Rattus norvegicus: one gene and its partner. The protein of the gene in region 1 interacts with the protein of each later gene in a biochemical or structural test. Links are inferred from orthologs where the notes say so. Each region holds a gene or a part of one and is shown in the gene's direction. Other genes may lie near its edges.

Evidence for each region. The genes of interacting proteins can lie anywhere in the genome.
Region 2: the proteins of Raf1 (region 1) and Bag1 form a complex in vitro, tested with the Homo sapiens proteins (2 studies listed by BioGRID). The link is inferred for Rattus norvegicus from reciprocal best matches to the Homo sapiens genes RAF1 and BAG1.

Annotation. Positions count from the first base shown.
Region 1 is NC_086022.1:150,409,914-150,414,155, reverse strand, and holds the start of Raf1 (RAF proto-oncogene serine/threonine-protein kinase), read left to right. Parts: upstream 1-1,342; 5' UTR 1,343-1,612; intron 1,613-1,856; exon of another isoform or gene 1,857-2,159; intron 2,160-4,242. UniProt on the Homo sapiens protein: Serine/threonine-protein kinase that acts as a regulatory link between the membrane-associated Ras GTPases and the MAPK/ERK cascade, and this critical regulatory link functions as a switch determining cell fate decisions including proliferation, differentiation, apoptosis, survival and oncogenic transformation.
Region 2 is NC_086023.1:60,866,944-60,870,588, reverse strand, and holds part of Bag1 (BAG family molecular chaperone regulator 1), read left to right. Parts: intron 1-1,388; coding exon 1,389-1,502; intron 1,503-3,546; coding exon 3,547-3,645. UniProt on the Homo sapiens protein: Co-chaperone for HSP70 and HSC70 chaperone proteins. Acts as a nucleotide-exchange factor (NEF) promoting the release of ADP from the HSP70 and HSC70 proteins thereby triggering client/substrate protein release.

The DNA of each region.
Region 1 (4,242 bases):
TAGTAGCAAAATTAGTATTCGCGGTTGCTGGGGGTAGGAAGCTAGTGAGAAACTGCTTGGTAGGTAATTTTATTTCAGAGTAATGGAAATGTTTTGGAACTAAAGCTGTGGTTACACAACACTGTAAATGTACTAAATGTCAAGAGATGTTTACTTATAAATGGTTACTTAAAAAACTTGTATGTGTATTTGTAAATGCGGTTTGCAGGTTGAGCACGTAGCACTGGGTTCGAATCAAGGTCAGAGGATGACTTTCAGGAGTCTGTTCTCTCTTCCATCATGGCACCACCAGGTTTTACTCTGCAAACTTTTTACTGAGTCACCTTGCAGATACCAAATGGCTACTTTGAAAATACACAGAGGTAGAATGGGAGTCTGAGGTCAACCTCCAATTAAGAGGGAATCTGGCACATATCTTTAATTCCAGCACTCAGGAGGCAGAAACAGACCAATCTCTTTGGGTTCGAGGTCAGCCTGGTTTACAAAGTGAGTTCCAGGACAGACAGGGCTGTTAAACAAAGAAACCCTGTCTCGAAAAACCACAAATAAACAAAGAGATAAAAAAAATTGAGAACCTATTTCAAAGAGGGATTAAAAAAAAAAAAAGCACGTTGACAATGTCACATTGTCCTTTAGGTGTCTATTCCACTGGGGTTGTACGAAGGCTCACAACAGGCTTCAGTTTTCCGTGGGCCATATTGGCGCATCAATTTTATTTTTTTCTCCATCTTTATTAAATTGGGTATTACAGGGTCTCATGCAGCTCAGCATGGCTGTGAACTCCTGATCCTCTTGCCTTTACTTTCCAAGCGCTGGGATTACAGGTGTGCAACACCATACTTTTAGTTTTTGGTCAATCTGGTGTACTACAGTGAACCCTCGATCTGCAATACAAATGTGGAACCTGAGGTTTAATATAGTATGAGAGCTTTCCCGCAAAACCCGTAAGCCGCCATTCTCCATGGATGTCAACTTCGGAAGGAAGCACCAAAGCTGGGCCCTGGGCTGTGTGTCATCTGGCGCGTCTGGTCCTCGGAGGGCCTCGCGGGTGGCCGGACCGAGGCTGCAGCCCACTGCCGCTGGCCTCCGACCAGAAGCAGTCACTGTACCTCCACAGGTTGAGCCCCGAAATGGCGGCCACAGTACCGCGAGGGCCACGCCTCCAGAGGCGGGGCCAGATTCCAGGCCCGAGCGATAGATCCCCGAGCCAAGTTTTAAGCGGACAGCCGAGCTCAGGAGCTCGCGCAGAGGCAGTGAGTCCGCGGCGCCGCAGGTCGCCAAGACGAGTGTCGAGCGCAGGGCTAGCTCGCCGCCGCAGCCTGAGAGCGTCTTCATCGCGGGTGCTTGTTCCGCCATCTTAGATGGCGGGAGTTAGAACGGAGCGAGCTTGAAGCAGGAAGGCTTCTCTGCCGTTCTCCGCAGGCCCTCAGACGGGCCAGCTGGCCGAGCTTTGGGGCGCGTGCCCTGAGGCGCGGGGCGCTAGTGCAGCGATGCGGGGCCTTCCTGGGGCCCCGTCCCCCGGGCTGGGGACACGCCGAATGTAACCGCAACCCGTTCTCTCAACCACCGCTGTCGCTGCACTACGGGACCCGGTGCTGCCCGGCTCCCTCAGGTAGGCCGCAGGGCTGACGGTGCGGCCGCGGGGCGCAGGGTCCGCCAGGCCGCTGTCATCCTGGTGGCGGGTCGGGCGAGGGCTGGGTGTCATGGCCGGCGAGCCAGTTTCCACACCCCTGCTCAGATTTCCCAGTGTTTCTCGGAAATGTGCCAGCGCCACTCCGGTGCCCAGCGAGCATTCCTCATATTTTGGCAATGGGGAAAAAAAATCCTCCTAGAGCTGCCCAGTGTCTGGGTTGTCACTGGGATGGGCTCATTCTTTTTCTCTCGGGCCGCAGAAGTGGGGGGAGCCCGGCCTTGCACCTCCTCTCGGGCTGCTTCGCTTAAGTGACACCCTTTTAGGGAAGACGAGAAGAATCAGGGACGGCAGCGAGAAACGGGTCAGTGCCCCGTCACAAAGACGTGGGACCTCGCCCGGAGCTTCCAAATGGGAGGCCGGGGATGCTCGAGATTGGGAGCTGGACTGCCTTTTGTGTGAAGCGACAGCCTCCTAGGCTCTGCAGAGCCAGTGAAGGATGCAGAGTTGGGACACCACGGGAGGCGAGGTGGCCGTGTTCATTCATTGTTCTCTCTTTAGGGCCCAGGGTGTGCCTCTGGTTTTCATTCTTTGTTTGGAGGGACAGTCGGATCTCTTCTTTCCGGGTTGAGACGTGACCGGGTCTTGGGGAATGGGGCAGGTCTGTGTATAGAAGTGGGGAATGAATTCAGGGCACGTATGGATGCCTGCATTGCGTCCTGTGGGGTCTGTGGAGACTTAGCTCCCGGGGCGTGAAAACAATGCGCGGTGATAAGGCTTGTTTTCCCAAGTGTTCTTGGGATTTAGAACAGTTAGGTGCAGAATAGAGAAACCCAGAGGTTCCTTGCTTGCTTCTGCGCGGAGTTTGGAAGGACTGTTCGCTAGGTGAGGTAGCGGGGAGGACATTGTCAGCGGGGGAACAAACAGCTGGCACCAAGGCACAGGGGCGTAGCCTGCGGGAGTTAGGATGATTTTGGGGAGCAGTTAGTAAATATGGGGTGCAGGTAGGCGGACGGCAGGGTCTAAGAGGAAAATTGATAGTTGCGAAGGGTCTGTGTGATGGATAGTGAACTAGTTCGTTTGTTAATTAACTTCATGTTGTGAATTTTTAGTTCTTGCGGGTTGCTGCTTTGCTCCCCTCCCGCTATGGTAGTGAACAAGATTTACCTTGTTAAGTCTAGCTAACCAGTTTTGGTAATTGATAGGAAATGTTTAGTGCTTTTTCACTGGTTCCTCTTCAGAGATACTCTTGCAGCTTTTTCTAAGGTTATACCTGCCTTCAAAAATACTGAGGTCATAAACATATTCTTTACTAACTCCTGAGTTTTAAATCGCTGCTGACCACGTAAAAACACGTTCCCCAAACGTATAGAATTCGGCAGATTATAGAAAACACCTGGAAAAGTGTAGCATGAAAGTATTTTTTAATGAATCCTATTTATGTAGTAGACTTTTCTTTAGACTGAGTTCCCAGGTTGCAGCTTTGTTAAGTCTCCAGCCCCATGAACATTTTATTTTGTTATTCTAATAAAATAGCTAATTTGATTAAGGCTTATGCTGAAGTGGCTATTTAGAAGTGAAGAGACATCAGGGGCAGTTTCCAAATCTTTGGTATTGTGAACCACTGAAAAACACTGAGGTTCTTTTGATTTGTTTTTACTCTTATCACTTCAAGGGCTAAGTAAGCTGTTTAAAATCCAGCAGCAACATTTGACCTAGCTGAGACTGGATACTTGGAAAAATAAACCTGCTGATGTTTCTGTTCGAAGGCTTATCTTCAGGTCTGCAAGGCTGGGATTGTGCCCTGAAGTGGGATCAGGCAGCTTTGTTAAGGTCTTGTCAGTAGTTGAAAGGATCTTGTATGCCTGTGAAGTAGAGGCTTGACTGAAAGGCTTTTGAATGCATTTTAAGGGATTTGGCCCAGTAGTAAAAAGACTGAGAACCTTTCACTTATGACAAAAAGTATCCAAAAATTAAGAATGACACTGCATTACAGCTGCTCTGAACCCACTTGGTTTTGGCTTCAAGTCAATTTTCTCTGATGATTAAACTACTTGACAGTTTTAGGAAGTTAATTTGATATTTGCAGAAGCACTAAGTATTTTTAATGGAAATACAATGACTAACTTCAAATTGCTCTTTTAGAAAGTCTATTAGTGAATGTTTGATTATTTAATATTAAAATTCAGACAAAACTTCTTTACCTACCTGCTACCTAAAACCATGAGAGAATGCTTTGGCTTGCCCGTTAGCAACATGCCCCAATGTTGACTTGCAGATCAGAATTTAAATATTGTCTCTGAAAGACAGTGAACAAATATAACAGTGAGAGGGTTTATGAAACCATACAAATCAGGCTTCAACTTAAAATGTTGTTTTATTTTTCTAAAGTTGAAACTAGACCATAAAAAATCAGGGTCTCCCACTCTTGAAAAATCAGAAATGTTGGGTTCTGTTTTTCTTTCTTTCTTTTCTTTCTTTTTTTCTTCTGTTGGCTGGATCTCCCTGTTTAGTCCTTGGATGACCTGGAATTCACTACGTGGACCAGGTTAGCTTTGAACTCACAGAGATTCCCCCTGCCTCTGCCTCCCAACTGTTGGGATTAAAGGTGT
Region 2 (3,645 bases), on another chromosome or scaffold:
GGGCTTGGGATTAGGCCACAAACAAGAATGGAGAGTTTCGGGGAGCATAACAAAGCAGGAAGCTGCTGGCCCTAGCTGCCGGCGAGAGAAAGAATAATGTTGTAAATGTTTGCTGAAGGGTCAGGCAAACAATACGGGCAGAAGGCAGTACCCATGGTCTCGGTTTGGTGTGCTGTGGTAGTTTCTGTTGGAACTGGTTAGGGTCAGGGAGTCCACAGCTGAGTTCTAGTCCATTCCCCTGATTGGGCATTGGGACCTTAGGTCACTTTACTACATTAAGGCCCAGTGTCATCTATGAAACAGTTCCTGCCTCTTAGGGTTATGGTAAAGCTTAAAAACCAAGTAGCAGAGGTAACATTTTAAGCACAGTACCTGGCATACCAAGAGCATTCAGGAAAAATGTTGTCACTGTTACTATCGTGTTAAATAGGAGAATCCAACTGAAGGGTGACATTTACATTTAAAAGAAGATAGTCGTGAGCCAAACCTGGTGGCACCTGGCTGTAGCTCTACCATAGGGAAGGTAGAGGCAGTTGGGTCAGGAATTCAAGGTCGTCCTCCCATTACACAGTATTCTTGAGGCCACCCTGCACTGTTTGGGAAAAAAAAATGTCATACTGCTGGGCATGGAAGCACACTGTAATCTCAACATTTAGGAAGCTGAGGTAGGAAGAATGAGACTAGGTAGTGGGATCTTGTCTCAAGACAAAACAAAGGACGAGTTGAATTCTGTCTTCCCATTCTGGACACCTTAGCGGTATTCTCTTGAACTTACTTACACTCTACTGTGTTAAAGATGTATTTATCCTATTTCGTGTATTCTAGTATTTTGCCTGCATCTGTGTGACTGCACTATGGGCTTGCCTGATTGATGCCCGTGGTGGCCATAAGAAGGGTAGGATATGCTTGAACTGAAGTTACAAAAGATTGTAAGCCTCTGTGTGGGTGCCAAAAACTGGACCCAGATCCTCTGGAAGAGCAGTGAGTTCTCTGTAGTCCGTGCTTACATTCTGACCTAGCTGTTGGGGTTGGGGTCAGCACAGGGCTGAGGCTGAACCTGACACTTGGATTGGCTCCATTCTCTGAGCATACGTCCTCAGGATTCTCACTACGATGTTCGCTTGACACCTTCCTTCCTTCTTTTTTTTTTTTTTTTTGGTTCTTTTTTTTCTGGAGCTGGGGACCGAACCCAGGGCCTTGCGCTTCCTAGGCAAGCGCTCTACCACTGAGCTAAATCCCCAGCCCCGCCTTCCTTCTTGACGCTCGGCTTTACAGATAGGAATCGTGGTGTCTAACCCTTTGACATGCTTTCCAAGCAAGAAGCACGAGAGGTTGACTCAGTCTTTTTAGGTGAGCAATTACCGACCGAATTTTATCCTTTGTGTTAGAGCAATCCAGAAGAAGAGGCTGAGTTGAAAAAGCTGAAGGACTTGGAGGTATCTGTGGAGAAGACAGCTAACCACCTGGAAGAGTTGAATAAAGAGCTTTCTGACATCCAGCAGGTGACTTCCCTAGTCTAGGGATAGAGCGCTATGGTATTGTTGCCTGGCTGGCTTTTTAAAAACCAGCTTACTTCATTTTTATTATGTATTATGTGTGTGTCTGCGTCTGAGTCTGTGTGGGAGTATGTGCATGTGTCGCTGATGGCCAGGGCCACCAGAGATCTCAGATTCCCCCAGAGCCGGAGTTATCTGAGGTTGTGAGCCTCTGTGTGGATGCTGCGATCAGAACTCAGGTAAGCAGGTAGAGCAGCTCACATTCCTAATCACCGAACTGTCTCTCCAGACCAGTTTGGGGTTTAAATTCTGAAGTTAATGTGGGAGGCTTGCGCAAACGTTTTAAATGTGTATATAGATAGATTCAAACCGAGGCCTTTCACCCCTAAACTGTGCTCTCACTGTGCTTCTTGTGTGCAGGTATGAACGTGTCACCCAGAGATGCCATTACTCTGAAAAGTATTTCTCATCCTATTTAATATGTTGTACAGTTGGTAAATTATTCTTTTACTGATGAAAAATTAACATTTTCCTCTGTCGTTGAAAATAGCCATATTTTACTGCATGTGAATACATCATGATTTACTTAACCTAGTCTCTGTTCTCTGTTTTACCTAATTTTTTCCCTTACATGTGCTGCTGCTTTGCGTGCCCTTGGACACAAGTGTTTTTTGAGTAGTTGTGATTGTTTTGGATAGAATTGAGTTTGGATTTCTGAGTAATGTTTGAACTTCTTGCTGTGTGTTGTCAAATATGCATTTGTCACTCCGGTTCGATAGCCATCTTCAGAAATTCCTGCCTTTCTACTCTGCTGCCAGCTAACAGAGCATTAGGCAAAGAGATGCGAATGAACAGAGGACGGGTAATGACAATAAGTGCTGCTTGAACCAGGTGTGGTTTTGCACACCTGTATCCCAGCTCTCCTCAGATGGAGAGATGGGGATCAGGAGTTCAAGGGCAGCATTGACAATGCGGTGAGTTGGAGACTGGCTTATACTACATGAGATCCTGTCTCAAAGCAAAGCTAAAACAACAGTGTCATTCTCTGTTATCTGTCTACCTGTGCTCCCTCATCTCCGAGAACAGTGAGACATGACAAGATTAAGTAACTCGCTTAAGCTCTTAAGCCAAAGCTGGGGGTATGTTCAGAGTCCCAGCATCATGTAGAATGTAGAAATTGGACTGATGGCACACTGTATAATCCCAGTGCTGGGAGGCAAAGACCGGAGGATTGGATCCCTGCCACTCACTGCCCAAGCAGTCTAGCCAAATTGGGCAAGTTCCAGATTCAGTAAAAGATTCTGTCTCAACAAAAATTAGACAGAGTCTTAGTCAGTGTCCTATTGCTGTAAAGAGACACCACGGCCACAGCAACTCTTAAAAGAAGAAAGCATTTGACTGGGGCTGGCTTACAGTGCAGAGGTCTCGTCTGTTGTCATCATGTCAGGAGGCATGGTGTCATGCAAGCAGACGTGTTGCTGGAGAGGTAGCTGAGAGCTCTACATTTCAATCCACGGGCAGCAGTTAGAGAGAGAGACTGGGCCTGGCTTGAGCTTTTGAAACCACAAAGGCAACCACCAGTGACACACTCCCTCCCACAAGGCTACACCTCCTGATTCTTGTCAAGTAGCACTAATGACTAAGCCTAATGTCTGAGCATCCAAATATATGGGGGTCATTTTTATTCAAACCACCACACAGTGTTTGACAGACACCTCGTGCCAACCTTCGATGCCCCATGCCCAGCATTCCAGTCTATTCTCTTAATGTCTGCTCCGTATGTGCATGTATGCACTCATGTTGAAGGCTGCACCGTAGTTCCTCAGGAGGCATTCAGAGCCCCAGTGGACTGCATGAAAAAGAGCAGTTTGCACCCCGGTAGGATTCTTAGACTGGCCAAGGCTAGCATTTCTAGTTTTCCCAAGGGAAGAAGGTCTGAGATTCAGCCTGGCTTCTTAGGTCGGAGGTGAACTCTGGTTGCTTCACCTGTCTATTGGCATGGTTTCCCAGGAGTCCCAAACACTTGCAATAGTGCCTTATTCCTTCTCAGGGTTTTCTGGCTAAGGAATTACAAGCGGAGGCTCTCTGCAGACTTGATAGGAAAATAAAGGCCACAATTGAGCAATTCATGAAGATCTTGGAGGAGATT